Lytechinus pictus: one gene and its partner. The protein of the gene in region 1 binds, or shares a complex with, the protein of each later gene. Links are inferred from orthologs where the notes say so. Each region holds a gene or a part of one and is shown on either strand. Other genes may lie near its edges.

The links.
Region 2: ribosome quality control complex subunit NEMF-like (region 1) and ribosome quality control complex subunit TCF25-like share a complex: the UniProt entries of both Homo sapiens proteins name them as parts of the ribosome quality control complex. The link is inferred for Lytechinus pictus from reciprocal best matches to the Homo sapiens genes NEMF and TCF25.

What each region holds. Positions count from the first base shown.
Region 1 is NC_087251.1:8,227,161-8,244,037, forward strand, and holds the start of ribosome quality control complex subunit NEMF-like, read left to right. Parts: upstream 1-7,324; 5' UTR 7,325-7,465; coding exon 7,466-7,524; intron 7,525-12,940; coding exon 12,941-13,009; intron 13,010-13,268; coding exon 13,269-13,497; intron 13,498-13,995; coding exon 13,996-14,141; intron 14,142-16,770; coding exon 16,771-16,838; intron 16,839-16,877. UniProt on the Homo sapiens protein: Key component of the ribosome quality control complex (RQC), a ribosome-associated complex that mediates the extraction of incompletely synthesized nascent chains from stalled ribosomes as well as their ubiquitin-mediated proteasomal degradation.
Region 2 is NC_087246.1:54,854,582-54,872,262, forward strand, and holds the start of ribosome quality control complex subunit TCF25-like, read right to left. Parts: upstream 8,842-17,681; 5' UTR 8,362-8,841; intron 4,397-8,361; 5' UTR 4,387-4,396; coding exon 4,201-4,386; intron 3,744-4,200; coding exon 3,546-3,743; intron 2,957-3,545; coding exon 2,745-2,956; intron 2,106-2,744; coding exon 2,023-2,105; intron 1,826-2,022; coding exon 1,792-1,825; intron 1,152-1,791; coding exon 1,055-1,151; intron 457-1,054; coding exon 357-456; intron 1-356. UniProt on the Homo sapiens protein: Component of the ribosome quality control complex (RQC), a ribosome-associated complex that mediates ubiquitination and extraction of incompletely synthesized nascent chains for proteasomal degradation.

The DNA of each region.
Region 1 (16,877 bases):
GGTAGCGATTACTGACGTCCGGCAACCATGAATCTTGGAAGTGTTCTACATTCTTCTAAGTCACATTATATTTCCCGTCGCGGCCGCCAAAATCTGATTTTTTTTTTTTTTTTTTTAGGGGTCAGTCATTACTAAATTTTCATTTTTAGAAGCAACATATAAGGTATCGCATGTGGCCTGAATACAAATTACCACACGAGCGCGAAGTGCGAGCTCATTTTTTTAAATTTAATATATTTAGCCCTGAAAATTTAACATTGTGAGCAGCTTTTGTAATCATCATGGGGGTATCTAACTTAACGATCCATGCGAGCGGCGAGCTGAAAATTTTGATATACTGGCCAGCAAAAAGACCTGTTAATGTCTATTCGCAGTGATACATGAAATAATACATTTGATCTCCCCAATCCCAAAAGGTTTATATTCCGACCTGAGAACTCGAATGTAATCATGAAGAGGGTGGATATATTAACCAAACTATTGAAGCGAGTGCGAAGCGCGAGCTGAAATTTTGATATCCGACCAGAATACTGGACATTGTTAGCACTTAATTTTTGCATGAATATTATGCATATATAGCAATTCATGTGAGTGAGAGCTAATAATTTTTATTAACCTTTCTGAAAAAGTACATGTTCATGTTTGCAGTGACTCATGAATATAATACATTCCTCACTAATCAAATAGACCGAGTGTGAGCCGATTTGTTTTTTAGATATTGGACCTGAAAACTGGACTGGTTAAACATATTTTCAATAAAGAATACAGTAAAGAAGCGCAAAGCGCGAGCTGAAGTTTTCTTCAGATTTAGAACTAAAAATAAAACATTCGAAGCAATGTAACCATGAAGAATGTCGGCATAGAACTAAGCAACTGTCGTGAGCGTGAAATAATTTTTTTTTACAACCTGACAAACTTACATTTTCAACACTTTTTGCAATCATGAACACGATGGTTATCTAATCAAACTTCTTTTCGAAATCAGACATTCTATGCAGTTTCTGTAATAATGGGAGCGCGAAGCGCGAGCTGAAAATTTTGGGATATTTTTACTTGAAAACAAAATAAACATGTTTTTACATTAAACCAAACTCAGTTTTTTCATCTGTAATTGAACAAGCTGTGTATCTCAATTAACATTAATGCGAGCGCAAAGCGCGAACTGAAAATTTTGGACAGTTTGACTTAAAAACCAAACATTTTTACATGTTTCTACATTAAAACAAACTCAGTTTCTGCATCTGTAATTGAACAAGCTGTGTGGCTCAATAAATATAATATCAGCGCAGTTGAAAATTTTGGAATATTTTGACTTGAAAACCAAACATTTTTACATGTTTCTACATTAAAACAAACTCAGTTTCTGTATCTGTAATTGAACAAGCTGTGTATCTCGACAAACATTAATGCCAGCGCGAAGCGCGAGTTGAATATTTTGGTTATTTTTTACTTGAAAACTAAACTATACATGTTTTTACATTGAAACAAATTCAGTTTCTGCATCTGTAATTAAACAAACTCATATAATGCCAGCGCAGTTGAAAATTTTGGGATATTTTTACTTGAAAACTTAACATTTTTACATGTTTTTACATTGAAGCAAACTCAGTTTAGCTGTGTATCTCAATAAACATGATGCGAGCGCGAAGCATGAGCTGTAATTTTGATTTACTGACCCGAAAGGGAACATTTTAAGCACTGTCAAACATGAATGAAGGAAAATGGTTCAATGTCGGTACAGAAGGACGAGCTGACAACACTCGATACTTTGACTTGAAAACGTTTTTGTACAAAGAACAAACTTATTAGATTCCGCATATGTAATTGAACAAGTTCTGTATCTTAATAAACATAATGCGATTACAAAGCGCGAGCTAAAATTTTTGGTATAGTACTGAGTACTGATCCGAAAGGGAAAGTTTAAGCACTGTCTAACATCAAAATGAAGGAAAATTGTGCAGAGAATATTGATCTCACTAAATATATGATGCGAGCGCGAAGCGCGAGCTGAAAATTTCGTTGAGATTTAGACTTTAAACAGGGACGTTCTTTTCACTGTCGGTACAGAAGCGCGAGCTGAGAACTTTTGATGTTTTGACTTAAAAACTTGATATTTTCACAAGCTTTTTTATATAAAGAACAAATTACTCAGATATGCAATTTAACAATCTGTGTATCTCAATGCGAGCGGAAGTTTAGGCAACAATTTTACTAATTATGATGCGATTTTTTATTGAGATTTAGACTTTAAACCGGGACATTCTTATCACTGTCGGTACAGAAGTGCGAGCTGAGAACTTTTGATGTTTTGACTTGAAAGCTTAACATTTTCTTACTTTTTTTTAAATAAAAATAACAAACTCAGATATATGCATATGAAATTCAACAATCTGTGTATCTCAATGTGAGCGCGAAGTGCGAGCGGAAATTGTTGATATTCCTGAGTGAAATTTAGGCAACATTTTCACGAAATATATGATGTGATTTTTTGTTGTTGAGATTTAGACTTTAAACCGAGACATTCTTATCACTGTCGGTACAGAAGCGCGAGCTGAGAACTTTTGATGTTTTGACTTGAAAACTTAAGATTTTCACACTTTTTCATACAAAGAACAAACTCAGATTTGCATATCAAATATAACAATCTGTGTATGTTAATGCGAGCGCGAAATTTTTGATATTCTTAGGGAAATTTAAGCAACATTTTCAGCAAAATTTTACTAAATATATGATGCGAAGCGCGAGCTGAATTTTTTTTAGATTTAGACCTTTCATTTCATTTTTTCATTTAGGTTTTATTTCCACAAATCCGTTATGTTACAAAACTTTGATAACTTAACTGACATAACTAAGCTGAGCAACCATTACACACGTAGACTATAAGTATAGATAGCAAGCATTCTTAATCACTACATATTAATTCATGTTTAAGTACATAAAAAACGGAAAAGTGGAGGAAACCTTAGAAGCAGAATGCTTGTAGATAAGGTTCCCTTTTTTATACATTACTTTTGATATTACTACTTAGTAATAATACACGTGACAACATTTTATCAATTAAATTACACCCACAAAAACAACACAACACAGAAACGTGACAAAAAACAAAGAAAGAAAGAAACGAAGAAATAAAAAAACAAAATAAATAAAGTAAGCAGCTGCCATCCAACAGAATTTAAGAAACATCTGGATAATAAGCTCTGTGGACAAAAATGCAATAGAGCATGCCAATAAATAGCAATTTCAGTTTGTTTTATTATATCGAAGAAGAAGCTTTGCTTTCAAGTGATGTTTGAAAATATTATAACATACCTTAAATCGTAATTTCTAATGATTGTCGGTAAGAAAGTTGTCAAATCGCGTGTACCGCTATTTTACGGACAAATTTTACAAGCCTGGGTGAGAATCAGGTCAAGCACTCCCCTAAACTAAAAAGGAAATATATGCAACGGAAAGTAACAAGCTGAAACAAATTCTTTGGTATAACGAAAATATTACATACAACAAAAACACTCTATTTTTTAGAGGATGGTATGAAAGTGGTCTAACCTATAAAGGATGTAATTTGTGATGGAAATTTTCTCTCCACAGAAAACATTGCTTTAAGGCTTAAAACTAGAAAAGAAAAATGTAATGTAATGTATGATTACTCTAAATTAAGGAAATCGATACCCAAAATCTGGAACACTTCGACTCCCTATACTCAGCCAAAACAATTAGCTCCACATTTACAAATACCACTTTTGATTATTGGAGATAAAGATAAATGTATCAGTGAATGTAGTAGCAAAATCTTATCTAAACTGCTTTGTCCCGATTACATGCACACCAATACGTGTTGTATTTACTGGGAAAATAAGAAAGGAACTCATTTTGATTGGGAAGTTACTTTTAAACGTAATCTAAATCAAGTTCAAGAGTGCAAGTTACGCGAATTTAATTTTAAACTTCGAAGATATCCACCACGCTTTCATTTCTTGTGATTTCAATAAATCATTTTTTTGAATATTTGAAAGAACTGACTAAAAGATTATTTCATAAAGATTTAGAAATCAATTATAAAATTATGTTTAAACATGAAGTAGACGAAAATTTGGTTTTACTTCTGACCATTGCACTTTGGTGCATTCACAAAGTCATTGTTTCAAGAAACATATCCGGAAAAGAAAAGAGAGGTAGTCTGAAATTTATATTCTTAAGAGAAATAGAAAGTATAGAGTAGAAATGAAAGCTCGGTACAGAAAAAGATATGTTTTTTTACCCAGAGAAATTACCGAATACGTATGAAACTCAGTAAATCTTTTGTTATCACTTTATGTCTTCAATATGTTATAACTCATGTAAGATTATTGGATGATTGCATAACTATTTTGTATCGATATAATTTTTCAAAATGTCATGTCATCTCATGTATATTCATTTTTATAATGTGTTATGTTGCGATGGTGTAAATAAATCCTCTAATTGGAGGCAAAAAAAAATGATTGTCGGTATATAGCCTACAGAGAGCTCTCCACGACAGCATTGCAAAAAGAAAATTTAAAAAATACGATAATAGTATGCAATTTGACATTATTTTACCGACAAAGATAATGGAACTCAAAGACCAAGTATAGAACAAGGTACATGGCGCAGCTAGAACAGCCCTGCGTGACCCGACAGTTTGTCATTTTCCCGACAAGCGTCAGTCCATCTGCCCTGCGCTTGCGTAACAGACAATTTATATTTTTTCCAATTAACATCTCAGACTCCGCATCTTTGATTACACCGACACACAGGTTTACCTAATCAAAACCTTGCATGTCTACCCCATTTCTTCTCTCTTTGAGTTTTCTCCTTCCTTTTGTTTTCCTCTTCCTCGTTGTCCCTTTCTTTCTTTCTTTTCCTTTCTTTTTTTTTCTCTTCCTCTTCTTTCCCTCCCCCATTTTTCCCGACGGCAGCGCTGATTTAGATATCCAAATAAGTTGGGAGGGGGGGGGGGGGTTTGTCGCACCCCTCCCCCTTTTTAGCGACAGCCCTGTATATGGAACAATTATTTACCTTCGGATCTACAAAATTCAAATTCTGTTGATAATTTAAAAATAATTTATAAGAAAATCACTTTCTCTTAATGTTCTTTCGGCTATCCATCCTATATTTCTATGCCAGATTGTATTTTCAATCCGAATTTATCACCCATGCACAAGTATTTTCATGCCTTTTGGTTTACTCACTCTTTTTTCTTTAATCAAGGTATTTTATGCATTTTCTGTACGTTGATTTTTATGTCAACAAGACCGTGTTGAAAAACAGTGTATATTATCTGAACATGTAATCCTTCTTTTGTATATTTGATCATTATTTTTTATCTACCAACACATTCAGGGATGTCGATCCCTGTTTCGGATGGGGGGGGGGGGGGCAGAGTGAAAAAAAAATGTAAAAAGAAGCTGTATGCTGTTTAATGAGTATGCTGGGTTTAATGGATTTATAGTGCTTTCCAATGCTTTTTGAAGCGTACATTCGCATTGCATATAGTAAATTGACCAATTCATCAAAATTAAATTGGAGTAGGTTCAATTGGCAATTGTTGTCATGGAGGAGACCCCTGCCCTCTCACGATCAACGCCTCTGAACATGTCTATGCGGCCAACAAATTTGACTTCGTGAAACCATGCACAATAAATATAGGAATTACGAATAAACGTATATGGCGAGAAAGTAAAGAAATTGGCATTTCAATAACACAATGCAATCTTTGTTAAAGTTGATATATATGTATATATTTGTATATGTGTGTAGGTAATGTTTATGTAATTTTATAAGCTACACATGCGTGCACTGAGTGAATGTTACGGACGTATTACTTGTCATGCTTCAATGAGCACCGCCTGAAGGCAAAATTGTCACTTTTAAAAAATCACAAGCCAAATATCATATCATTCCATTTTGTTTGAACGAATTCCATATTCTCATCATGACATATCGTCAGAAGACTTTTAAAAGCTATTTTCTAAAATACGATTCAACTATTTAAAAAAAATTCAAGATTGAATAAACATAAGTTAAAATTTGCTATAAATTGATTTTTTTTAAAACATATTTCTGTCGATGAAAATGATCAAATGTGATGACATTCATTTTGAGGAAGAGTATCTTCAACAATGTTCATCCTTTCACGGTTCAATAAACATTTAATGAAAACAAAAATAAGATTTTCAAATACATAGGCAAGTATTGTTTCATTTTGGGAACTGAAATTATCTTATCAACTTTTTTCGTTATGTTTATGACCAATTAACATGCTACACTGATTCGAAGGCGTTTGATTAAACATTCACGCTTGAATGAACATGTGGAATGTGATTAGCTCTTTTTTTACGTTATTGGAAAAAAATTGCTATCTGTCACAAACCTCCTTGCATACTTCATTTGATTTGATTTTTATGAAAATCCCGATGTCTAATGCTTCAGTGAGCACGCAATATTAGAAAATTATGTAAATAAGAACAAAGTTCAAGGCCTTGGCCCCACTATGTGCCGTATCGAATGATTATTTTGGTGTTGGCGCCTTCTGGATATATAGTTTCCCTCTGAAACCATGTGCTGTAATAAGTTTATGGAAAAACTGTTCAATTAGTGGCAGAAGTAACAAAAACCGTCCATGAAACAAACCCTCATTTTACTTTTGTTAAAATTTTGATTTCCTCTCCCATAGACATTTTGTACGCGTGCGTGTATTTGACTTTTGTCAGACGTGAATCAATGATCAGATATGATTATTTACGTCTGGGACCGATAGACGTGACCGGGACTCGAACCTCTGCATCAATTTGTAACTTTGTAAGTTGGGGGAGGGATTTAAGCCACTACCATTTTCCTATTTTAACATATTTTTTTAGTTATAGAGGATACTACCATAAACCCCTATGATGATACGTCACAAAAAATTTTACTCACTCAACCATGAACATACGTTATCAAAATTTGTGTGGAGTGGCTAAATGATGGTTAATAAAACAGCATTAGCACCATAAATTTCACCAAAAAACACTTGTTAGCCCAACTACACAATCTGAAAAACGACTCTTGTGACTTTTAAAAAATTGTCATTTTTAATTAAATCTTTGATTACTCATGCATGACTCAACCGATCAATCTAATTTTTTCCAGGAGTTGCTGGAATATATACATGTGCATTTATTTGATATTTTATCAAACTTATAGGGTCATGCAGTATTTCCATTTACTTAATCATAAAATCATAGTGTAAGATAAAAGAGTAAAGTTGATTAAACGCCTTGCTCAAGAGCTTTGGTGCCGTGGCCTGGGACTTTTATGTGTCAGTCATCAGCAAGGCGCCATTCTGCCAGCGCCAGCGCCATGGCACGATGGCAAAGTCGAATAATTCTTTTTTCATTTGACATTTTAGAAACGCTGTATCTTTGCAATTGGGAACAGATACTTCATTCAGAATATTTCAAAAATGAAGTCCAGATTTACAACTATTGACCTTCGGGCAATACTTTACGAACTTGGATCTAAGTAAGTGTCCTTAAACTCTTGGTATTTGTAAAAATATAATTTTGAAAACGTGTGCATTTTGTAATAATTTAAAGTTTGTGCTGTGCGTGTCGTGACTTCGTGTGGTGTGTGAATGTGGCGCTACACGTACCGGTACCGGTACGGTACCGTAGCGGCTAGCGGGACTCTACGGTCCGAACGAGAATACCGTACCACCCAGGCCCAAGCCGGGCCGCTGCGGCGCACCTGGCGGCGACCGTCTTCGTTTTGCACTTGCTTGCCTTCTTCCAATTAGGGAGTTCGGTGACTTTTTGAAATCTTGAACTTTTGAATCCCAACAAATTTGATATCATTGGAAAGCTTTTGGAATAAGAAAATTATGGTGCTTCAATCAACTCATTGTCTGATATAATTAAATATTGACACTCTTTGACAGAGATATTCCAGAATCGAATTTACAACAAGGGAAAATCTGCAGATTTTGTTCTGTAAAAAAATATTTAGGCCAAGAGAATGAAAGCTTTAGATTTGCGTCCACCGCCCGCATGCTCTAAAACTGCCCGCATGAAAATTTCATTATTAAAAAAAAAAATCATTACTTACTAGGGTGTCTGGAGAAAAATATTATTTTTCTTATTTCAAGAAAACATCACATTTTCTTTGTGAATTTGAAGAGAAATGACCTTCAGACTGACAGAAATGTAACATTTTTGAAAAAAATCCGATTATTGGCTGCAAAAAAGAAGAATGAAATTAGGTCAATTTTCAGCATTTCTCTGCCATAGACTGTGTAGTTAAGAAATGGACACACACAAATCCAAATTTTTAGCTTCCGAGAGCTGTTATAAATTTATTATTAATGCCAAAAACTTGTCCATAAAGAGTCCAATAGGATTTTTTATGCTCTTTCTGATGGTATGATTTTTATAAAGATTTGGAAACCAGATCACAATGAAAAATTGTGACAAAGTGACAAAAATTGTGCAAAACAGAAATTTCATTTTCTCATAGAAAACGCATGGGGAAATGGCAATCTCAACACACACAAAAATAAGGGTTTGCAATTTATCTCTAAATCCTTATTTAAAATGATCATATAAACTTGTCCTTACTGTCAAAAGAAGCCCCTGAATTTTCTCTTTCCATACATGCCAAACACAAGTTAATAATCAATTCAGATCACATTTTTCTAGTAGCCTGAACTTCCCGAAAAAAATGTGCCACATTTTCCCCTAAATCAGCCTCTCTTATGCTGACACTTTTCAGTGTGGCTTCAGACACCCTATACTTACTCTCCATCACGAAATTACAAGTTCCAAATCATCGCAGGGCAGTAAAAGGTTATATTTACGCACTTACTACGTGCATACGGTATACCACTGCAGCCCACCTTCATCTATAGACTGTACAACGGATAGACCATCTCGGCTCAGCGAATCGGAGATCGCTGATTGGCCAATTGCGCAGATCACGTCATGACTACGTGGTCGCCAAAATAATTCCTTCGGACTGCGTGCGAAAGTATCGATAGCGATAACGATATCCGGTCACCTTGTCTACACGGGAAATGGTCTTGGTTCGTGATCGGATCGCTCCAGTATCGATCAAAAATTATCGAGACTCTGCAATTTCATGCATATTCACGTGACGCTCCGAAACCCGGAAATCAATTGACTTTGTACACGTTGCGATAGACTCTACAAACTCCAACGAACACGATGCCATATCGACGCTAATCCGCAAGATTTTGACCGAAAAGCAAGAAGTAATCGAAATTCACTTACCTGTACGGTATCGGTGAGAAAATAGATCCTCCAAGAATACCTTTCATAATTCATATAAAATATAGGAAAGTGAAATTCTAGGTCGATTTTGGTACGAGGTGATAGAGAATAGCACACTTGTATTCACTCATTCAATGAACAAGGTTATGATATAACCTTGTTGTCAGTTACATCTCCATACATGTGTGGCAAAATAATTTAAATAAGGGTGGCAATTTTGGCTTATTTTTTCTTTTTCTATGGGACAAATGCTTGATTTTTTTACACTGTCAGTTTCCAATACAGCTATTCATCATATAACTTGGCTCTTATGTAAATTTGATTCTTTAAGTTATTTTTTCTTAATTAAAAATAGAGATTGAAAAATGAATTTTTTTTTGCCATATTACTTTCCACCAATAAAGGGCGTACACACTTGTTCACTGCAACCATCCTGCCTGTGGGGAATCTACAGGTAGGACTATGGCATGCAAATGCTGTACAGAGCACACACTTTAAAAAATCATTAAAGGGGAATCTAACCCAAATAAAAACTTGTTTTTATGTGAAAAAGAAAAATGAGACAAGTTGATAGGTGAAAGTTTGAACAATATTGGACAAACAACAAGAAAGTTATGAATTTTTAAAAGTTGTAAATATTGGTAATCACTATACCCATGGAGACTTCAGATTGGCCGCATATGGGATGTCATAGTGATGTAAGGCAAGGACTACTCTTCCATGTACTCCAATACATATTATGGCTAAAATGTCATTTTTCTCAAAAGTTTTATTTCAAATTATATTTTTCTTTCATGAGGACATAAAACAATATACTACCTGGATTATGTTAAGATTACTGCCCCAGGGGAATGGGTACTTAGGAGAAAACCACAAATCCCTGATAATTAAGTACATGGCCTATGGGAAAGTTGTCCTTGCCCCTTGTCATAATTTACTTACCCAGTTGCCAATTTGAAATCTACATACTATTAGTGATCTCAATTTTAAAGCAGCCATAACTTTCTTATTGCTTGTCCGATTTCTTTCAAACTTTCGCCATTCTGTTTAATTTATTTTTCTCCTTCCCAACACAACCATTTATAGCCAAGGCTGGATTCCCCTTTAAAATATCACTTTTGTGACCAAAATTACTAATTTCCATACAGTTGCAATTTATTTTCCATTAGTAACTTGGGAATAATTTTTGTATTCACTAGAGAGAAAATAGATCCTCCAAGAATACCTTTCATAATTCATATAAAATATAGGAAAGTGAAATTCTAGGTCGCTCGCATTGATTCGCCAGGATATCGAAAATTCTAATCGGAAAGCATTGATAAAAGCACACCTCATTGAACGTAGAGGGCAGCAACACACGGCTGCCATTTTTTCATCTACCGTAAGTACCGTACTAGTGCGCTCACTGCGCTGAGCTTTGTGAATGTGAATTTGATGTGAATGGTACATTACGTGCACGTTATAACCCACGCACGAAGGGAAGACAGCAGAAGTATGGCCGAGCTAGTTACTGTACACAAGATCACGGGAGCGATTTTATTTTCCCCGATCGCTCTCTCTATTGGGTTTGCAAGTGCGATTTCAAAATTTACAAGAGCGAAATCGCTATGCGCTCCCGTGTATTTTTTCGCTGGCCTGTTTGTTTTATTTTTTAATGGCCTTTGATCGACTCACAAACATTGAAACAAAGAAAATTGTAAGTTATACTACCATATTGTTTTCCATTAAGTGTCTTAAAAACTACATGTATGATTTAGTTCTGAAATAAAGGCAAGTAGAAATGCCTCAGTAGGGAATTTTTGTGATGTTGGACAGCAAGATCTAGTTTTGAGGCCAGTGTTGCATTGCTACCTTTGAAACTACAATTGTTTGTGAAAATGGATTGAAAACTGGTCTCTTTACTGGTGTTTGCTTGCGCAGTGGTATGTATGCACATTTATGAGTGGGCAAGAAGCATTCACTGCTGCTCTGACTTGCTGGAAGCAGAAAAAGGTGAACTTTTTTTTATACTGCTCAGCTTCTATGGGCTTTAAAGTGTGTGAGCCAATTTCACCACATAAAAAGGAAATGCTCTTTGGAACAGAGTGAAGTGGCCAGAGCAACAACAAGAAAAGATAAAAATTATGCTATAGAACAATGTTTCATATTTTGCTCAGGAAGAGAAAATTGCTATGCATTGGAACAGAAAATTGAGTGTAAAATTGTGGGTCTTCTCAGAGGGACATATCCACCACATATTATTGAGATCATCATACATAGGCCTCCTAGTCATATCTGATTGATATCTGTTTCTAAAATCGCAATCACACACACACATCATATGGGTAGATATACTCTTCTTCCTTTTTTGTCTCGCCCACCAGAGGTGTAGACGAGACTTAGAGATCCAAATGTCATCCGTCCGTAACAAACCTTATGACACAACTCTGCAACCGTAAGTCACTATTCAACCAAACTTGGATGGTAGATGGACTTGGGGGACCTGCATGTTATGCTGCAGTCGGTTGTAACATCATCAATCAGAGTCAAGAAAGAGATGAATATTCTTCATTTTCCTGATAGTTTTCAACTAAATCAAAATAATTTCAAGGAATTATGGAAAGTAGATGGCCATTTCATGGATTTAAAGATGTATTATGTATAATGTGAAATTTTAGTAATCATTTAAAGCAGGGGTGCTATATTTTGTAAACGTAATGGCTCAGGCCTAGTTTCACCACAGATTACATGATAGCTACACAGCTATTGCATTTACAATTTTAAGAAAAATCTACAATTAAGCATATGTATTGAATTAAATTGATTTGAGCTCCTCAAGGAGAGCGATTCTGAAAAGCTCAATTGAACTTGAAAAAATAAGGAGAGCGATTTATTGAGCTCCACAAAATTATAAACGTGAAGGACTGGACACCTAACTCCGCAACCGTAAGTCACTTTTCAACCAAACTCAGGTGGTAGATGGACTCGGGGGACCTGCATGTAATGCTGCAGTTGGAGGTCACATGGTAAGGTCAAAGGTCATTTTCAGGTCAACGATAAAAGTTTACATGCAAGACTCTCTTATGACACCTAAATCCGCAAGTGCAAGTCACTTTTCACCCAAACTAGGAGTGTCGATGTAGTTAGGAGACCTGCATGTTATGCTGCAGTCGCAGGTCATATAGTAAGGTCAATGGTCATTTTCAGGTCAACGTTAAAGTTTTCCTTCCAGACTCTCTTATGACACATAACTGTGCAACCATAAATCACTTTTTAAACAAACTTGGATGGTAGATGTATGTAGGGGATCTGCATGTTATTGTGTTGGGAGGTCACATGGTATGGTCAAAGTTCATTTTGAGGTCAACATTAAAGTTTATGTGCAAGACTCTTATGACAAGTGTTATTCCATCCCAGTCATTTCACAATGAAGTTTCGATACAATCCTGTTGCGTGCCCTAGCAAATCACGATATTTCTGGTTATTTTCATAAGTGGGCGAGACACAAAATCGCTTATGCCTTGTTTCTTACTTAGTTAACCTTCTCTCCATTCACATGTGTGGGACACTGCCCTGCTGACGACACTAACAGCACAAAGGTGATGCCCCCTTCCCCTCCCTCCCCGAGGTTTAAGAAGATTTAAATTTTTTCCCTTTTCTATTTTATCATGCAGATTGCTTGGACTTCGTGTTCTTAATGTCTATGATGTAAATAACAAGACATACCTGATTCGACTTGGAGGGTAAGTGTATAAATGAGTTAAATTTACAAATAAGTTAATATAATGCCCAGCTTGCATTTCTGATCAGTGTATCCTCTGGTAGAAATTATAATAAATCAGAGAAGGGATTTCCAAATTGTGATGAATCTATGCTATTGGCTATATAGCAGGATGTACAACAAGCCGTATGTACTGCTGGCAAATGTTTGCGGATAAATCCCAAAGTTCTCATCTCAAACTTGTCTTCACTAGTTTGTTATTTTGTCAATTTCTTTTCCAGGACGGACCAGAAAGTGGTCCTTCTATTTGAGTCTGGAACTCGGATGCACACCACTTCGTTTGATTGGCCCAAGAGCCAGATGCCATCAAACTTTTCCATGAAGTTGAGAAAGCACTTGAAATCTAGACGTTTAGTAGAGATCAAGCAGCTAGGTGTTGACAGGGTTGTTGACTTGCAGTTTGGATCTGATGAAGCTGCTTATCATGTTATTGTTGAACTTTATGACAGGGTAAGCTTAAAATTAAGGGGCAAGTCAACCCTGGTATGCTTTTTGTCTTGCCTGAACAAAGTTCGGCAGAGACTTAGTGATTAATTTTGCCTGTTAGTCTTTTGCAAAAATGTTATAATTTTTGTTCAACTTACTCTCATTTCTTTATTTCTGCATCAAGTTCATACTTGGTACATATGATCCTTGGGTAATACCACATGTGTGTCCATGAGGATGATAGGGTCAAATTTTCAAATTATGTGAGGTCATGTACATCTTTGTTTGAAGTTTTATTCAATTTACAGTACTGTATTATGTAGTATTCTTGATAATGGAAAAGCTTGGTACAACAGATTTAGTGGGAAATATATATTTCTAATAGAAAAGTGTTATAGTGTCAACATCTATTATTTTTTAATATTTGAATATTCATCCATCGATCCTTTGTGAATTCAAAATGACTAGATAAACATTTATACTGGATGAGGGGCTAAAGGTATTTCATTTCTATGCACACAGGGAAATGTTGCATTGACAGATCATGAGTATACAATCTTGACCCTTCTAAGGACCCGAAAGGATAGTGATGATGTTAGGTTTGCAGTCAGAGAAAGATATCCTGTAGACACAGCTAGACAGCCAGATCCTATTCCTCCATTAGAGAGGTAAGATATTCCCATACATTAACAAGATTTTTAGATACTTTGATTGTATTACATGGGTGCTCCAATGTGTAGAAATGGTGGTCAATTGGTAACATGCTTAGATTATTTGCCCCTATTCACAAAGATGGTTTTGTATCAATGGACCAAAACCATGCTTAAGCAGATTTCCTGCATTTATCTCACTTAATCAGTGCTTGGCCTATATTGAGAAATAGTCCAATGCTCTTCTATAACAGTGAGCTGGATGCTATGTTCTGACTTTATGTCAATTTACAGTGGACTCTTTAATGCTAAAAACAAAGCAACAAGCATAAATTTAAACTCTTTCTCAAAATTTGTGCATGCGAATGTTAATATAGTTAGTGTAGAGAATGAGATATTTAGAATAAATCAGCTATAAAGTGCAGAGATGTCTGTCTCTTGGTCAAGAATCCTTATTTTTAAGCCTGAGTCGAATCGATTTTAAAATCGGTGTTCGATCGATGTCATCGAACGCCGATGCAGATTTTGCAAAATCGGTGCATCGAAAAAAAAAAAAAATACGTTGGCCGGCCGATTCATTTGGTTCACACAATCAAACATCAAAATAAACAATAATATCCGTCTCGACTACTACTTACTTCATTTATATTGCCCCCAAAATGAAACGGATTGTGTAATTATGATGCCTATTCACCATTAATTTGAAGTTTATTTCGATCATAGTTCGAGTCTTACTCGTCTGCACGGCTCGTCTGCTCGTGCCGAGATAATTTATGCACGATGAATTTATGAATGGAAGTCGCCATTGATCGTGCATGCGCAGTACTGTGCTTTAATCAAATCAGAAAATGGCCGGAAAATGGATGCGATCAACGTATAAAAGTAAATCTTGCTTTCATGAACAATATTAATATCATGACCATAGAACATGATTTAATCGTAATATTTAACAATAATTTGCATATGATAATCATTAATATGAATTTAGAGCTTGATGTGAAACGTTTGTATTTCGTTTCAATTTTCAATGGCGGACATCACGTGACGATCGACTTGAGTGAGTGGAATCGCACTTGTCTAAAAAAATAATTACACGTCAGGATTGATTATCGAACATTGTCAACATGTAGAAACTCTTTTGATGATCGTAATATCACCATATAATAATATTTTACATGACACAACAGAGAAAAATTACATTTGATATTTTTTCCCATCAATTTGAAGCTTGTTTGTGCCCAACTTTGGGCTCTGATTTCATGAATGGAAAATATGTCAGACGTCATCGAACGCGCATGCGCATTGTGCTTCTTTTCTCGGAGCTCGGAGACGTCCAGAGATGGAATAAAAAATAAAAATAATGCCAGTATAATACTATTAATTCTTCCATATGAACATAACATACTTTGCTGACATCGTCAATATTTTTAGTATGGCCATAAAATCTTATTAAATCGTAATTATTTTACATCCAATAATAATTTATATGAAGTTAGAGCTCGATCCGAGACATTCGTATTTATTTCGATCACAAGCTCTTGTGTCTAAAATAAATGGATTATCATTATTAGGATTAAGTCTCGAACATCGTCAGAACTCATATTTCCAATCTTTCCTCACAATCGTTATATATCAGCATTGAATACCAATTCAAATGACCATCCAGAGAAAATTACGTATTTATTTCCATCAATTTATTTGGAGCTAATTTTGGATCCAACTACCCCGCCAACTACACAATCTCAGGCAAGTTACAGCGCTCTCCCCGCTGTTTGCACTTGTTAGATGGCGCTGGCAAGCATGCCTGTCGTTTCGGGAGAGTGAGTGAACGGGGCTGCGGACGGGGCTGGTCTGTGCGAGGCTGGACTGCGAATGCTAGTTGACCGAAAATCATTCGGATCGACTCTGCGTGATTCATGTCTTTAATATTGTTTCATTTTAAACTTATATGTTATCATCTGCAAATATCATTGTTGAAGATATTTTGGGAAGAATTCTGCATTGCCCCCGGCCTTTTTTGTGTTTTGTGATCATGGAAAATACAAACGAACTTTGCTCTGTCATCTGCTTTTGCAACGCTCACCCGGCGCGGCCAGCGCAGCCAGCGCAGACCGTCAGTGCATGTAGTGCATGCATAGCGCATGCATCGACGGCCGGCCGGAGCAAAAAAAATGACTAGATTTTCCCCGCCTTCAAATTTCGATGCATCGATGTTCGATCGAATTAAAGCTGTCGAACACCGGTTTTCAAAATAATCGATATGACTCAGGCTTACTTATTTTTTCAATTGATATCCTTTGGAATTCTTGGTTTTAGGATGATCTACCAGAAGGGTTATAGTTTTATGAATTAACAGAGAGCAAGAAAAAACATTTTTTATCAGATAAAAGGGGCAAGTAACATTGGTAATTTGCAGGAAAGAGGCCCTTGCATAAATGGATAGATTGGAAACCATTCAAGGTTATGATTGAGTCATATCAATGGATTAGCAATTGGTATAGGTTTTCCTTATTCAAGTTCGTAAATTTATGGGATAATTTTTTTTAAACGGCTCAGTGAAATACCCTTTCTTCATTCTAAAATCTTGTAATTCATTCTTCCCTTTCTGTACTTTCTCTGTATATCCCCTCCATGTCTTTGATTCCAGGATTCAAGAGATCTTAGCTGCAGGAAAACCAGGGGATAACATCAGGAAACTACTCAATCCTCATTTTAGTAAGTTAAGAATAATTGATCAACTTGATCAACAATTAT
Region 2 (17,681 bases), on another chromosome or scaffold:
TTAAAGATATTTATTTCTGGTTGATTTGATATTATATACAATCTGAAATGATAAAATAAAAATAATAAGAATAACTTCAAATTCAACACCTTACTGTTTTCTCATAGGAAATTAAATACATGAAATGTGTCAAACAAGATTCAATCATATATGTCTTTTTTACTTTGTTCATCTTGCTATATATGTTGTTCTTGAGACTTGAAACTTTAAACTTCTTGAAATAAAATGAAAGAAAAGATTCCCCAGATAAAGAAGTAAAAAAATATTAACTAATTTTACATTCAAAACATTAAATTTGCTGGGTAAGAATCTATGAGGGATTCTGAGGTTTAAAAATGCTAGATTTTTTCGCATACCTATAAGATCTATTGCCATTCCCATATCTTCATTCATCCTAGAGACCTCACTGAGCTGAAGCAAGCTGTCTATATGATATGGGTGTGCATTCATTATGGCCTGTAATTAGAAACCAAAAATATAATTTCCTAAAGTTTTCTAACTCATCAAAGGTGACGTCAACATGCATTTCACATAGTACAAACTTTTTAAATTTAATTGATTGCCGGGCAAAATGTTATTGATAGATATGCCATGTGTTGAGAGACTCTACTTGAAATTATAAACATTGAGGTACAAAATATGTCACTGAAGAATCCATTATTTTACTAGTGACTACAAACAGTGTTTTATATTTAAGTTTCAAATAAACATTCCACTTGCAATAATAGTTTGACGGATACTTGACTGCACATACCGGTAGTCCAAATTTATGTCTCCTCCATTGCAAAATCTAAAATACAATAGACAGTTTACTTCTAAATATAAAAAAACTTTATGATCTAATCAGATTTTGTCTCCCATAGGACTTTATGAACCACGATTAATTCTAATCAGTCTACTGAATCTAACAGTTATTGTGGAAGGTAAAGAGCCTATGAAATTGTGACCCCAAGGCCCCATTCTACAGATAAGAGACATTTGAAAGACCAAGAGCCAAAATGAGTGAAAATGTCTGACCAATCAATCCATAAAATGTTCCGTTTCTAGATCTCACCATAATATTAGCTGGATTCATGGTTTCTACTGCATCCAAGAAATCAAACTGGACATTCTGATAATCCTTAGAATGTTCATATTCAAATATGTGATATCTGTATTTACAAAAAAAAGTTTATACATGGAAAAATAAGGATCATGTAATTTGAATACATCAACAACTATAAAAATTACACAGACTTTGAATTTAAAGGAGTTCTGAAGTCCAAGCACTCAAGCAACAGTGAATCTCTGGCAATAGGCTAATGTGCATTACATATATTAGGACAATTTTGATGCAATAACTGTTTGTTTAAAAAACAGAAATATACTATTAATTTTTGGGGAAAATATACAATAATTATTTGATTTTCTTTGAAGAACAGGAATGTTTTGTAGTACACTATAAACACCATGATGTAAAGAGAAATGTAAACTTTTTTTGTTCTTGTGGGTTTGCATTTAAAGACTACATGATCAAAATATTGCATTCTGTGTTAAGATCCAAGAACTATGTGAGCAATTGAAGGTCTTGAGTTGGTGCTGCTCAAAGGGGCTGAGGCATAGTGTCTTTAAACATCAACCACAAAAGTCAACCAACATTTAAACATTTGAATAAGCAAACATCTATTAGTGGTTCAACTCGTTACAAAATAAACCGATACAAGCTAATAAACGTTCATAATCATCAACCCTAAAATATAATTATTGTGACAAAAAAGAGAGAATTAAATCACAACTTCAACAAATGCTTACCTTCCCTCTGTAGTGATGTGTATCATTGATAAACCTGTCAAAACAAAATGAAAAAGAAAAATGAACTAATTTCTATCCTAAGGTAAGAACATAAATATTTTCAAAAGAAATATTGTCATGGGCAAGAGTAAAAATTCAAATGTTGAAACATTAAGTGCAAAACATCAAATTTTCCATTTGGATATCACAATAAATTCAGAAGACATTATGTTCTATGATACTTTAATTTACCTGTTTTTGTCATTTTAGGCCATGATTGCTTAGCTGTTACTAGCCAGGTTGATTTCTGGTACTGCCGGTTTCTCCCTCTCTGCCTGCATAAAACAAAGAAATATCATTTTGACAATCAAATGAATCATCGTAGCTTACAAGAGATCTCACTTTGACATATGCATAATCATGAAAATGCATTGTTTTTAATGGGAGTTAGACACTTTGTGAAAGCTTAGATGGAAAAAAATATGAAATTGTTTGTGGGCTTGTGGCAGACAATGATGTTAAGATATGTAGAAATAAAACCAGAAATATGAAGGTTTTATATCCAAATATCTATGATTGAATAGTGCCATTCATGAAATAGAACTGTGGTACTTTCATATATAACATTGCAAATGATGAAAAAAAAAAATCTGGCAATCATAGTCACTCGTGCTTGATTTTTTTGTATAGATATATGATTTATTGAAAAATATACAAGAGATATAACAAAAATATAACATATCAATTAAAAAATCTTTAGAATGTGTTGCTTAAAATAAATACATGTATCATGCCATAGGATCTCTTAAAATTGTTGTGAATATCAAACAAGAGGCTATTGAAAGGGTTTGAATTATGTAGGGCTTCAAATAAAAAAGACTCGTGCATGACTTTAAGTCACACATAACTTTTGTAAAACACCTTCCAAAATTCTTAAAGTGGAACCAAAAATATATACATGTATGTTGATTTACCTTTGTTCGTTTCTAATGACACTGGCTCCAAATATTCTTCTCAACTCATTCTCTGGGTTGAGATGTTTATGTTCAATAGCTAATAATGGTTTGGAATTTGTCAGCCTGGAACCTTGCTCCATTGATGATGATGATGGTGCATTGGTGGAAAGAGGGGGACTTGTCTTCAAGATCTCATTGACTTCTCGAATACTCGCATCGATTTCATCTTCCTGTGAAATCATAACAAATACAAATGTACAAGACCGTTTACTCTAAGTAATACATTTGATAATCCATTTCCTATATAGATATGGACTACTTGCTTTCATTGTAATATAATAAAGTACATCCAAAGATAAGAAGTTGCAGTTTTGTACAGAATTTAGAGATGGCGTCACAGTCATACGAAAAATGATAATTACACGACAATTTTGTTCAAAATATCTCATACTGCTTAACATTTATTCAGGATTTCAACTTTTGATCTCAAGACAAAAAGAAAAAAAAACTTTAAAAAATTTGGCTATCCACTGCCGCCTGTATCAACCACATGACCAGATTTGACCTAACATAACGATCAATGATCGGGTCATAGACATATCAATACAGATGAAATTTGAAGATGGTTTTTTAACATTTGTTCAGAGCAACACACAAAAACCCTAAACTTTTTATTTTACGAACATATATAAATATATTGCATTATAAAAAAAATACCAAAAGTGTAAGAATAAAAAACGATGACAGGAAAATGAGCAATTACACTTGAAAAGCATGAACTGCAGTGCAAACAAAGGAACAATTATTTCCAACACTCACATCATCTGCTTGTCCACTGCTGGTTCCTCCCTTCTGCTTTTTCTTCTTCTTTTTCTTTTTCTTTTTGGGTTTCACTTCCGTTGTAGTTTGAACATCCAGTCCATTTTGAAGTCCTTCTGTAGTTTTATCAGTTTTCTCATTCTCATCTAATTCAGCATCTTCTTCACCATCTGACTGGGCATCCTCTATATCATTCAACTATTTCAAAATACAGAATTTATGTTATCAAGGAGCAAATCTTTTAATTTGAGAAAGGTCTCACATGCAGTGATTCAAGAGCCAAGATATCATTCTCACAGTCACTTTACAAATATGTTGATATTGCCATTGCACGAAAATAGTTTTGAAATTTACTGAGCCTTAGAACTGCCCTCTTTACAGTGATTGAACTCCAACTTGATTTTTTTTCACAGCTCTCAATCATATCTTGAATGAGTGGCAAATTTGAGAATATTTTTCAAAATTTACATAAATAACACCTTTTTGACGGTTAAGTCAGTAAACATAAACAAAGTACGGTACATGTACCTCTTAATAATACCACGTTTTATTTGTCTGTTTCAGATAGGATGATTTCTTCCTCTTTTTTATCATCCACCTTAACAAATTAATTCTTTGTAAGAAAGATAAAGACAAAGAAAATATTCATACCTACCAACTCAAATGGATTTACGACTTTCTTCTTTTTCTTCCCCTTGGGTTTCTTAGGTCTTACAACATCATCTGCTGCTACTTGAACTTCCACATCATCTTCTATCTCCTCTTCCTCATCATTGGCCACTTCATCCTTGAGCACAATGTCAGGTTCATTACATAATTTTCTCATAGCACGTGACGACATCTTGTAAATGCTGAAATTGTGAAAATACATGTATGTTTACTTTAAAGTTGTGAAAGTACATTGGCTAATTACCAGTTTCAGTTTCCAAGATAAAGAAAGAAGTGAAAGATACATTCGTGCACCCATTTTGATTCAGGCCTGATTTTTTTTCATGTTTCATTTTCCTCTTGTGTCTGGGTACAGGGTGGACCGGTTTCTGAATTCTGCAATGGTTGAAATGGTAAAAAGCAATCAGCGCGATTGTAATAAAAGAAAACAGGCAATGAAAACAAACTTTTGTACCTCTGAAATTAATACGGAGACACATATTTCAAGATTTATTCAATTAAAAATTATGAGTTAAAATTGTGAGAAAAAAATGAAGTACATGTCCCCCTCTCCAGTCCATCATCAAAATCCTGGAAGTGTGCAAATGTGAGGTACCATAATAATTTATGTTTTTCAATCTAAAATTTAAAGACAAGCAGCAGTGATAGTCATAAATTGCTTTATTAGATGAGACTTTGGATATGTGTAGGGTCTCTTTTGGAGCACTGCAGAACATTCGAATTTGTTACATTTGTCAGAGGTTTTTAAAAAAGAAAATATAATTATAGAAGCGTCGTGGTGTAGCGGTTCTGACTCTCGCCTTGTAATCAGAGGGTCGTGTGTTCGAATCCCACCATGGCCTCACGTCCTTTGGCAAGGCGTTAATCCACACTTTGCCACTCTCCACCCAGGTGTTAAATGGGTACCCGGTAGGATGTGAAAGCCTACATGTATATGTAGTATGCCTAGCAATTGAGTCTTGGAACTCTTGTTGGAATGCTCCCCAGGGAGTGGAGAAGGTGCATACATTGTATGCGGGCATGCAAGGATCCGATGACCGGGGTAATGATATGTCTGTAAAGCGCTTAGAGACGTCGTTCCGATGTATTAAGCGCTATATAAATGTGGAATATTATTATTATGCAGAATATGAATTATAAGGAACAGTATCCATAAACTTTTGTAGAATATTAGAGAAATTCAGGTTTATTCTTGCCCAAAGATCCTTCCCTGATAGGAACAAACTCCCAGACAAAGATTGAAGAAGTGGTTACACTTCGTAATTCCGAAGGTTCTTTATTCCGAAGGCTCATAATTCCGAAACACGTAAATTGCCTATTTAATATACCTCGATGTTCGTTAATCCGAAAATGTAAAAGGGTTCGTTAATCCGAACATTTGTGGCGTTATTCCGAAGGTTCGTTATTCCGAAGGTTCGATAATCCAAAAACGAAATAAGGTTCGATGTTCCAAAGGTTCGTTAATCCGAAAACGAAATAAGGTTCGTTGTTCCGAAGGTTCGTTAATCCGAAAACAAAATAAGGTTTGTTGTTCCGAAGGTTCGTTAGTCCGAAAACGAAATATGGCTCGTTAATCATTTAGTTTTCGGACTAACGAACCTTCGGAATTACGAACCTCATTTCGTTTTCGGATTAACGAACCTTCGGAATTACGAACCTTCGGAAAAACGAACCTTCGGAATAACGAACCTTCGGAATATACGAACCTTCGGAATAACGAAGCTTCGGAATTACGAATGTATGCGGAAGAAGTAGTCTCATGTCAATTTGACATGCACCACTTGGTCACTGCAACCATCCTGCCTGTGGGGAATCTACAGGTAGGACTATGGGGTATGCCTATGCAATACACAACACACACTTTGAAAAATCATTAAGATATCACTTTTGTGACCAAAAATATTAATTTCCATACATTTGCAATTTGTTTTTCATCAGTATTTTGGGAATAATTTCTGTATTCACCAGAGCGCTAAAAAATGTTGGGCATATTTTTGTGTACGTCCTCTATTGGTGGAAATTAATATGGCAAGAAAATTATCGTTTTTCAATCTCTGTCTTTAATTTAGAGATAAAATAATTAAAAGAATCAAAATTACTTAAGAGCCAAGTTATATGATAAAAAGCTGTAATGGAAACTGACAATGTCAAAAAATCAAGCATTTGTCCAAAAGAAAAAGAGAAAATATGCCAAACCTTGCCAACCTTATTATTTTGCCACACATGGAGTAGTAACAGAGAATGAGGTTATATCAGATTCATAACCTTGTTCATTGAATGAGTGACATGCACTGATAAGTATGTATCTCTCGCTTTTCTAGTACTTTCACACGACCACAGATGCAAAACTATTCCTCTCACCTCATCCAGTGCATGCAATATTTCAAGTTTGATTTTACTTTGTGATAGGATGCAGATCCCTTTGAAAATTACAAGAGAAGAAGAATCTCAAATCAAATTTTTGGTGCATACATACACATATATGGCAGTGTATCCTATTGCCGGACACCTTTATTTCAATGCTTTAAAAATTACAACTAGAGGAAATACAATCAAGAAAAATTCGCACTTGCTATTCCAAATATTATGAAAATTATGAATATGATAAAATTATTTTACATTTACCAACCGTTACCTTTGCATCGCACTTGCCTCATACCCCTCCGCGAAAAACAATTATTTTTGTGCACGGCAAATTACATCATGATTCCGGACGCGCGCCGGACGGGTAAAGATATTCTTGATTGTAATGATGTAAGAAAGAATTTATATGATATTTTCTTCATATATGTTATCATGAGTAAATTTTAAGTTTTCGTTTGCTTTTTTATATCGAATGTGAGCAGATGTTGGTAATAAATTTGTGTTTGCTATTTTTTTTTCTTTTTTACTGCATGTTCCATGGCACTTTCCAATATTATGCTCGTTCATATCGTATGACGCTCATCAAGTTCTATCGATGCGCTGTCGATCGTCGACGGCTCTAATCACGGTAAACCTCGCGCACGGGTACCTTAAAGGAGAATGAAACCCTTGAAACCAGCTGAATCCATATCAAAGAGAAAAATCAAAGAAACATATTGTTGAAAGTTTGAGGAAGATTGAATGAATGATAAGAAAGTTATGAGCATTTGAATATTGAGATCACTAGTGCCATGTAGATCCTCCCATCGGCAATGCGACCAAGATCTGTGATATCACACACGTACAACTCCCTCATTACTTTAGTACTTATTTCACGTATATTCTCACTTTTATAGAGTCTATCACAAGGTGAGGTGTTCTCTTTATGAGATGACAAGTACAGAGGTTTCACAACATTATATCATTGATGAATCGTTTGTCATATGATTAGAATGAGCAAAAAGATGTTTTGGGGTATATTTTCAGTGTCCAAATGGGAGAGTTGTACGTGTGTGACATCACAGATCTTGGTCGCATTGCCAATAGGAGGATCTCCATAGCATTAGTGATCTCGACATTCAAATGCTCATAACTCTTTTATTGCTAGTCCTATTTTACTCAAAGTTTTGTTGATCTTATTCTTTGATTTTTCTGCTTTCACAAAAGCTAACTTGCTCCAAGAGTTTCATTCTCCTTTAATTGAGAACTAGCCGTCGATGCACCCACAATACACCAGGCTCAACATTCGATCGAAGGAGCGGACGAGATTGAAATTCGGCAAATCATCAAATCAGGCCCATATTTCCATCAGAACATAATTTGATTGTTAATGCAAAACTATGTTATATGATATTTTAAGCATTTTCTGTAATTTAAAAGATAAATAATGTAGTTTTTTTTTGCCTTGTTTTTTATTCTTGTTCTATGACTATGTATTGCCTATTGGATTGCTCTGTGAAATTTAACTGCGAAAGTCATGCAGTTTGAAAATGAAATTGTTTTCGTACGCAGTAATATGCGCGTCCAGAATCATAATAGTGTCCGGTCATACAATTACAATACGTGACTATAGTCTATAGTCTATACCTCCACACGCGTTTAACAATGTCAATGTTACTAACTACACTATAGTACACTACACAATCCGAGCCATGTGGGACCGAAGTAAAGAAACAACGAACTAAACACATCAAATCGTTGGAATAATCGAACAAAACCTTTCAAAATATTAATCATCACCTACTTTGCACACAACTGGTCGTTCTCAATGTACTGGTATCCAAGAAAAGTACTTAATAATTCTGCCTTTTGACCATCTAAACAGGCAGTCTCAATGTGACGATAATGGTCTTCTCACGACGAGGCCGACCGTTTCACGAGGACGAGCGTCCACGAGGCCGAGGCCGCGCGAGGGTCCATGAGGCCGAGGGTCTGCGGGCCGACTTTTCTTATCATACCGAGGTTATACCTGACTGCTAAGAAAGCACGAAGGCCTGTGAGCAAGTACCCAGGGGAGTGAGGGGACCAACGGCTTAAGGTCCTCTCCGAGTAACCTGGTAATGAGGATAAATGCCTTACCAAAGGCAAAGGGCACTATAGGTTATAGCGCACAATTTGGAATCGAACCCGGGTCACCGGAATCCGAAACCCCCGCTCTACCGACTGAGCTATATTTTCTTTAATCAGGATGTTTGTCTTCATCGATATTAATCAACTGAGTCGCAAATAATTAATAGGCAATAGCGAAAGTTATTTCAAGACCGCAAGTTCAAGGCATGCTATATATGATGAAGACTTTTTAAATGAAAATTTCATTAGTTTAATGACAAATCCAGATTGAAACATTCGGCATTGTCTCAAATAATCTAAATTCTAATCTTTAGATTATAATCTAAGTCCAGAATTTGACAGTTCAAATGTCATTTTTATAATAAGTTTCTGATCGTTCTGGACAATATGGTATATTTGACTTTATCAATTTCCAAATCTTGCTGTTTTCAAATGAAATAATTAAAATCTACATTCCAAGAAAAGAAACACAAGTGAGAAATAATAACAATATAACAAAATGTTTAAAACTCAAGTTTCAGATTTTTACAATGAATAAACGGCTGAAAAGAGACTCACCAGCTACATTAATGATGGGTGAGATATACTCGAGCATAAATCATGTTGTCCCGATTTACCAAACCTTTACATTATAAGATTATATTTAAGTTTTCAATAGAGAATATGCTAAGCTGAAACTTTTCCACTGATTGAAAAAAAAAATCCTAGTGAAAGAAAATACACTTTAAAAATCGGCCTCGCGGACCCTCGGCCTCATGGGCTTGCCCCGGGGCAAATAATGCTCAACTTAGTTCCAGTTCTAGCTTTATGTTTGGTAATACCGGTACATGAAATGCATGCGAGACAACTTTTAAAAGGTATGGTAATATGTTTAAAGAAAGTTCACACAACCAAATGGTAGAGTAGATGCTTCTGTTCTGAATTTGGTGAAACCACTGGCGTAAATCCCGGGGGGATGGGGGGGGGGGGGATATATCCACCCCCCCCCCCACTTTTCGAGGAGGGGGGGATGGCCTGGCCTGTACAAACATCCCCCCCCCCCACTTTTTACGAAAGAAATGAAAAAAAATCACAAGAGATAATTGTTTTATTGGTGAAAATTCTTCCTATAATACCGCTTAACAAATAAAATAATATTATTGAATCATAAAATGCAAATAAAGAGCCAGTTCACCATTTCCAAACGAAATACTTATGTCCTTATTATAACATTGAAGAGAAACCCCCGTTTCTTCCAATTCATCAATGTTGGGGTCTTCGGGAAGGGATTAAGATGGAATGTCAAAAAATTTTGAATGTAATCTCTAATAAAACCATTAAACCATCATGGGGTAAAAAAGATAATAATATTGGAGGGGTATTTGCCATATGGACATACAGTGGCGTAACTACGGGGGGCATGGGGGGCACATCCCCCCATCGGCTGTCCAAAAAAAAAGGGGGAAAGGAGAAAAGAGGGAGAGAAACGTATTGGGAAAGAAGAAAATATTATTCATTATAATGTTATATCATATTATAATTATGTTATGTTACATTACATAAGAAACATTTTTATCATAACTTTATGAAACATAATTTGCCCAGCGCCTACGTCTTCATTGTTCCTGGTGCTCGCATTGTCTGTTTAACGAAATATATAATCCTGTTGTACTAAAACATCCCGTTTTCAAGTCAATATAAACCAAATATATTTCCTAGCACTTGAGTTATCATTGTTTTATGTAGTGACATATGCTTCTTTTTCATGACTCAAAAAGTGATTGCCCCATGTTAAGGTCTTATATGAAACATTTCCTGTCCGTGATTACGTTCGCATTAGTGGATTGGTGAGATATATGTCTGCTCTTCATAAATTCCTAAAATCAGTCCTTAAAATGTCCCTTCTTCTGATCTGAATATAAAAATTTTTTTCAGCTCGCGCTTCGCGCTCGCATCGTTTGGTTAATGAAATACGTATGGTCCTAGTTAATTCCTACAAAGAAACCTTAGAATGCCCCACTTCAGGTCTGAATTATCTAAGTTTTCAGCTCGCGCTTCGCGTTCGCATTGTTTAGCGAGACAGGTTCCTATCATGATTACACAAATTTGATTATAATGTCCCTTTTTAGGTGTGAATATAAAAAAAATTCAGCTCGCGCTTCGTGCTCGCATTATTTGATCAGTGAGATACATATCCGTTTAATGACATTGTCCTTAAAATGTCTATATTAGGTCAGTATAACTGGCAACTGAGCGCGCTTCGCGCCCTCACTAGCGCACTCACTCAGTGATTCAAAAATTTTGCTGGTGCCCCCCCCCCCAATGCCGTGACCCACTGTGGACATATCAATGACAATTTCTTGCATATCTAAAAACATGTTCACAAAAAAATGCCAAAATATTTCAGTCATCCCCCCCCACCCATCAACACGGATTTACGCCATTGGGTGAAACCATAGTGTGGAACAGATCAACAAAAGAAAACAACTTCCCGGAGCACTCTCACTTACATATATAGTAACAGTTTGACAACCATATGATTCAAGTTCAAGTTTATTTATTTAAAAAAACACATTATTATCAAAATAAATATAAATACAATGCATATGAATACATAAACACGTATCAATTAGATTATAGCATAGGCGAATAGGATCGACCCCTTTAGAAGCAAGGCTTGTGAGCGGGGGCCTAGAATATAGGCCGACTTAACACGATCTACATAATACATAAGCGAGTGAGAAAAAAGTTGATGTTAGCCTATGCTAAACTAGAATATAAACTATATAAACTTCGCTCTCGATTTTTTGAAACTGGCAAAAAAAAAAATCGTGTCCGCCTCAGTGCCCCCCCCCCCGAAAAATGTTCCTTTATTTGCCCCCCATGTTAAAAAATCCTGGTGTTGCCACTGAGCACAACAACAAAACAATTCTTTCCGACAGTATGTAATGTGCAATCTTTGTACACGATAACTTTAGAAATAGCGCCCCTTTTATATATTATGTTGTAAATTGATGTCATGATTGGATTTTAAGAGGTAAACTGTAAGTTGTTTATATCAATGTTAGATAAAAATATATAGTCTCAGACAATATTTTTTTAATTTCATTTCGTTTATTTCCATTTTTAACAAATACAGTGTCCAATACAATGTCAAAACCTTGACAAGCAAAAACGACAATGAAGGTATATTACGTGTAATCTTCATACACGATTACTTTCTAAATAGCGCCCCTGCATATTGAGTCAGCTCTCAGCAGGTCGGTGTCACAATCTGATTTAAGATTCACGATTTTACCCAATCTAGGCTAAGAATTGCCAGAAGCGGATCTAGAGGGAGGGTTGGGGGGGTTGCAACCCCCCCCCAAAAAAAAAAAAAAAAATCCGGGGACCATTTTTTTAAATCTTATCTTTTTTTTTAAACTTGTAATTTTATTTTATTCTATTTCTACAGTGCGTCCCAAAAAAAACTATACACTTTTGAAATGGCTGCCAAATAAAAAATATATCACTTTGGGGGGAAACACTTACATACATGGAAGCCTATAAAGTCAACTTTAAAATGACACCAAAAAGTTGGAAAACTTTTCATGCTTGAGCGAGCACTGCCCACTGAAACAAAGGGTATGAAAATTAGGGTGGGCAGGAATTAGCCTTCCAATTTCTTTCAGTTTTTGAGATGCGAGTCCCTTGGAACTTGCAAAGTTTTGATAAATCAATGATCAAGCATTATCAATTTAGGTTTTTAGAGCAAATTTTAAGAATTATTAAATTGAAATTTAATGTATGAGTGAACATGAAATACAATTTTTCACTTTTTAAGTGGATCTCAGCAATGTGTTCATGGAAGTCAGAATAGGGATAGGACTTAGGTGGGGGAAGTAGGTTGACGGGATATGGGTCAACAGAACACTTAACCCCCCCTCTCTCTCTCTCTACCCCTTTCACCCCTCCTGAGAGACTAGCCTTTGCTAGGGTGAGCAGGAATTAGCCTTAATTCCATTTTTTTAGAGGTGAGTCCTTTGGAACTTGCAAAGTTAAGGGTGTTATGCTAAATTACTGATAAATGGAGATCAGTTTTGGTTTCTTAAGCAAATTTCACGAGTTACTAAATTGAAATGTAATGCATGAGTAAACAGGAATTGTAATTTTAGTGTAGCATTTTTCGTTTGTTATGTGGATCTTAGCAAGTGTGCTTGTGAGAGTCAGAGTAATGTGATGGTACCTGTTACATGCAAGGGGATGAGATAGGGTAAGACTGGGTTAAAGGGGCATTCTTCTTTGTGTTCTCTTACAAATTACGTGTCATGTACTCACCCCCGCCCTCCACCCCTTTCTTTCTCTTGGTTGGTATTTAAAACTTAAAATGCCAAGTGACTGATGGTTGATGGGTCTTTTTTTTCCATTGAATGATTTATTAAGAACTTGGCTAATTATGATGATTTATAAAATGATTTATTGAAAAAGCTGAATGTTTGATTAATAATTTATTGAAAAAGGTGAATATTTGATTGATCACATTGATTGAGTTTATTTACTAACAGATTGTTGATTGAATGAATGATAGATAAAAGTTGATGATCTAATTTTTAGAATTTATTATCAAATTGACAGTCCGCTTTGCACTTAATGCGTACATGTAATAGCAATCAGTCTCAATCTCAACAGGAGGGGGGAGGGACGGACCTGTAGGAGGGAGGCTAAACGTTCTGTTGACCCTTTTCCCATCAGCTTACTTCACCCACTGAAGTCATTTCTTACCCCTATTCTCCTGACTTCAATGAACACACTGCTGAGACCCACATTGTAAAGTTAAAATGCTTCACTAAAGATTGCAATTCATGCTCACTCATGCATGGAATTTCAATTTGATAATTCATGAAATTTGCTCTAACAATTTAAAAAGATAATGAATGACCATCAATTCATCAGAACACCCTCAAGTTTGCAAGTTCCAAGGGACTCGCCTCTCAAAAACTGAAAGAAACCGAAAGGCTAATTCCTGCCCACCCTAATTTTCATACCCTTTGTTTAAGCGGGTAGTGCTCACTCAAGCATGAATAGTTTTCCAACATTTTGGTGTCATTTGAAAGATGACTTTATAAGCTTTCCATATATATAAGTCTTTCCCCCCAAAGTGATATACTTTTTATTTGGCAGCCATTTCAAAAGTGTATAGTTTTTTTTGGGACGCACTGTATGTATTTATTTCATTTATTATTATTATTATTATTATTATTATTATTATTTCTTTTTGGGGGAGGGGGGTTGGGCGAACAAATGTCACAGAGTCCCCCCCCCCCCATCAGCTTTTTTTGAGGACACGGGCCACCGCCGAAGTGACATTAAAAAAAAATTTAAAAAAATTGGGGGATTGTTGAAGTCTTTGGGGATGAAAAATAAATATTTGGGAATGAAAATAATATTGAGTTTTATGAAAAACGAATTTGGGGATTTTCTGTCAAAATTTGGCAACTTTGGGGATATTTTAAGTGTCGTTTGGGTGGGGATTTTGTTCATAATAAAAGTATTAGGCTAACAGTGCTTATTCCAAGGTCCCCAATTCTTTGTATCTGTGTTGTTAACTGGCCTTACATTGCAGGAAAATGCAACTTAATTTTACAAATTTTCATGGGGGTTAATTTGGCAACGACCTCTATACCAAAAAGAGTGGTGTTTTAGATGCAAGAAAACGCCATTTTCACACACAGATTTTCAAAAATTTTCCCTACTGTGGGAGGGGGGACACCCCCCTCCCACACCCTCCCCCCTCGCTCGCTCCGCTCGCTTGGACTCGGTCGCTACGCTCCCTCGCATACCACCCCAACCCCCCCCTTTATAAAAAGCTGGATCCGCCCCTGATTGCCGCTAGACATCTGAGCTTACGAAATGTAACGAATCTCGGCCCGGGCTGGGATGTAGGGGGTAAGCTCCCGAGAGGGAGCTTTGAAGGGCGAACAAAAAACAAAAGAGAAAGGGAAGATGGGGAAGAAATTAATGTTATAGGATGAGTTTTTACCCCCACCTCTCTCATTTCGAATAAAAGAATGGAAGGATGGAAACAATAAAAGAAAGAAGATGCACTCTTGAAAAAGGATTGGTCAAAATATCCAATGTTTTGATGATTTTTTTTTTGTTCGATCGACAAAAATGGTCAGAATCTATTAGTTCGTTGGTGAAAATTTACCGAAATTTTGGTTGATATTGACAATTTTTTTTCGGTCGGACACATGCAAGTCATATTCAGCAACAGATTGGTTACGTTGACCAATCCTTTTAAACCTGTTGACTGCTGAATTATGTAAAGTCCCATATGTTTTATACAGGGACTACCCGCTTCTAGTAGGAAAGAGGTTAAGATTGTACATGTGAGCGTATAAAAACAATATCAATAAGAATACTGAGTTATTGTAATTAGGCCTATATAGTATAGGCCTCTGTCTACACTCTTAAAACAAATCAGTCAAATTGACTAGACCAGTAGTCAGCTGGGTGCAACTGATATGACAATCACTGATAATCACATTTCTGACATAATTATATTAGAAATAACTCTGTTCTAGTAAATCATGACTAGAAAATAGTCAAATATTACTAGAATAACAGTTGCGCCCAGCTGACCCTATTAACTAGTCATTTTTGACTGATTTGTTTTGAGAGTGTATATAATTTCCATTGCAGAAAATGAAGTCCCATGAAGTCACCTTGCCCCTTCCTGTGATTCCCCCTTACAAAATCAACCTGGACCACTTCAATGTCAATATAGGCCTATACGACTTGCTCTACATATCCACCCCCTCTCTTACTCTCTCTATCTCGCTCTCAAACCCATCCAAATGCACTATCTCTCACGCCCTATACTCTCCCCTTCAAAAACTAAAAAAACACCTCTCTATACTGCTCTGACAGCGTTCCTTTAAATAAAACATCGCTATAAATCACGTTGCTAAAAAAAGATCGCTATGATTTTGTTGTTGTCCTCTTCATTCCCTATGTTGGCAAACTCCTGTTACGTGATTGTGCATCCTTTATTCTATTCTATGTGGTCTTTCTAAGTTGTTATTACACTTCATCCCATCAGTATATACGATCATAATCATTATTATCACCATCATCACCATCCTCACATCATCGTCGTCGTTATCATCATTATCATCATTATCATATTGATATGTTTTGCTTTATAAACGAGTTTTCACTGTAATAATATTATCATCATCGTCACTTCCACAAATATCATTTTCATTATCACCTATATACCATGGTTCAATTAAGTATAAATGAACATCAATCATAATCAACAGCATTAGTACGATAATCGCCTTCGTCTTCGCCACCACCACCACCATCATCATTATCATCATCATCCCCTTCATCATCATCATCATCATCATCCCCTTCATCACCATCCCCATCATCATCATCGTCGTCATCATCATCGTCATCATCATCATCATCATCCCCTTTATCATTATCATCACCATCATCATCATCGTCACAATCGTCATCATCATCATCTCATCACCATTATTATCATCGTCATCGTCGTCGTCATCATCATCATCATCATCACATCATCATCATCGTCGTCATCATCATCATCATCATCATCACATCATCATCATCATCACTACCATCATGACCATCCTGGGCCGTAATATAAATGTCAAAATAATTCATTAGGCCTTTGCTATACATGCATCTGTGCATGTAAGAACACACTTCACAATCCTGGAATTTATGTTTTCACATAAAATTTCCTTTCTTTCTCTTTCTCTGGTTCTGCATAAGACGCTGTCAAAATACCTAAAGGTTAACCTTATCTTTTACTCCATCTCTGTGTAGCATTTCAATCTTTGCCCATACTTGTTTTGCAGTAACAAGTGTGAGTGAATTTGAGCCGTTATTTCAACCAAGGCAATCTCAGTTCGCCCCATCGTGCATGTGCTTAGCATACTCATGGGATAGTTCGATCGCTCCCGCCATTTCAGCCAAGCCGCCAAATAAGAATCAGCATGCGCATGTTGTCTGCAATTGATTCACGAAATACATTTTTGTCTTCAGTAGCTAGAGGAAAGGGCTCTGAAAGTATTATAGTGTTGAAGAGTAGACCTGTTCAATTCTGATATAGTTATATAGGTATAAAGATAATGGTAATTTAAGGTATGATTTGAAATAAATGGTGATGATGAAATATTATAATCTTCTGAAACGTAGTTATATGGATAATAGACCTTGTTTGCAGACTTATCTATTAAATGTTAACGCATGCACTGTAAAAAATATTGGGTAAAATTTTTACCACCACGAGGGTAATTATGTGTCCAACCAATTCTGGGCAGTATTTTACCCAACGCGGGAAGCATAGATGTACATTGTCTTCAATTACTGATGTAAGGACCCCATTGGAAATAAGCCATCTCGTCTTTCATGGGCAATCCTGTCAAGGTATACACTTCTGTTCATACTTTCTTATACTTGTTCATAGTTACCTGACAATTAAATCAATCAATCAATCAATCAAAGCATATTGTCCAGTAAGGTTAAAAAATAAGCAGCAATTACTTTAGAATGGGCAAATTTTCATCACACTGGATAAATAAAAATGCCCAAAAGAAATGTCCAATGTTGGTTGGACACATAATTACCCTCATGGAGCACTTTTACCCAATATCTTTTAGAGTGGACTTTGGGTGACCATTCAATGAATTTATCGTCACTCAAGGAATTATGTATATAAAAACAAAATATATCACCCTATGAAAATCTTGGACACCTTGTTGGTTGTCATGGTTGTAGAGGCAAGATTTCGAGAATGAGAACCCCCTTTAAAATGCCTCCGCGTAGGAGACAACATTGTCGACGGATTTCAGCATCTCGTTTTACGAGTGCGCTCGTATGCATACACGCGGATCCTATCACGGCACCAAGGCACTTGCATCCTCGCATTATTATTCTCACTGATCTCCGTCATGTAAAGACCACGCAAACCTTGAATCTCCTCTTAACGGCGAC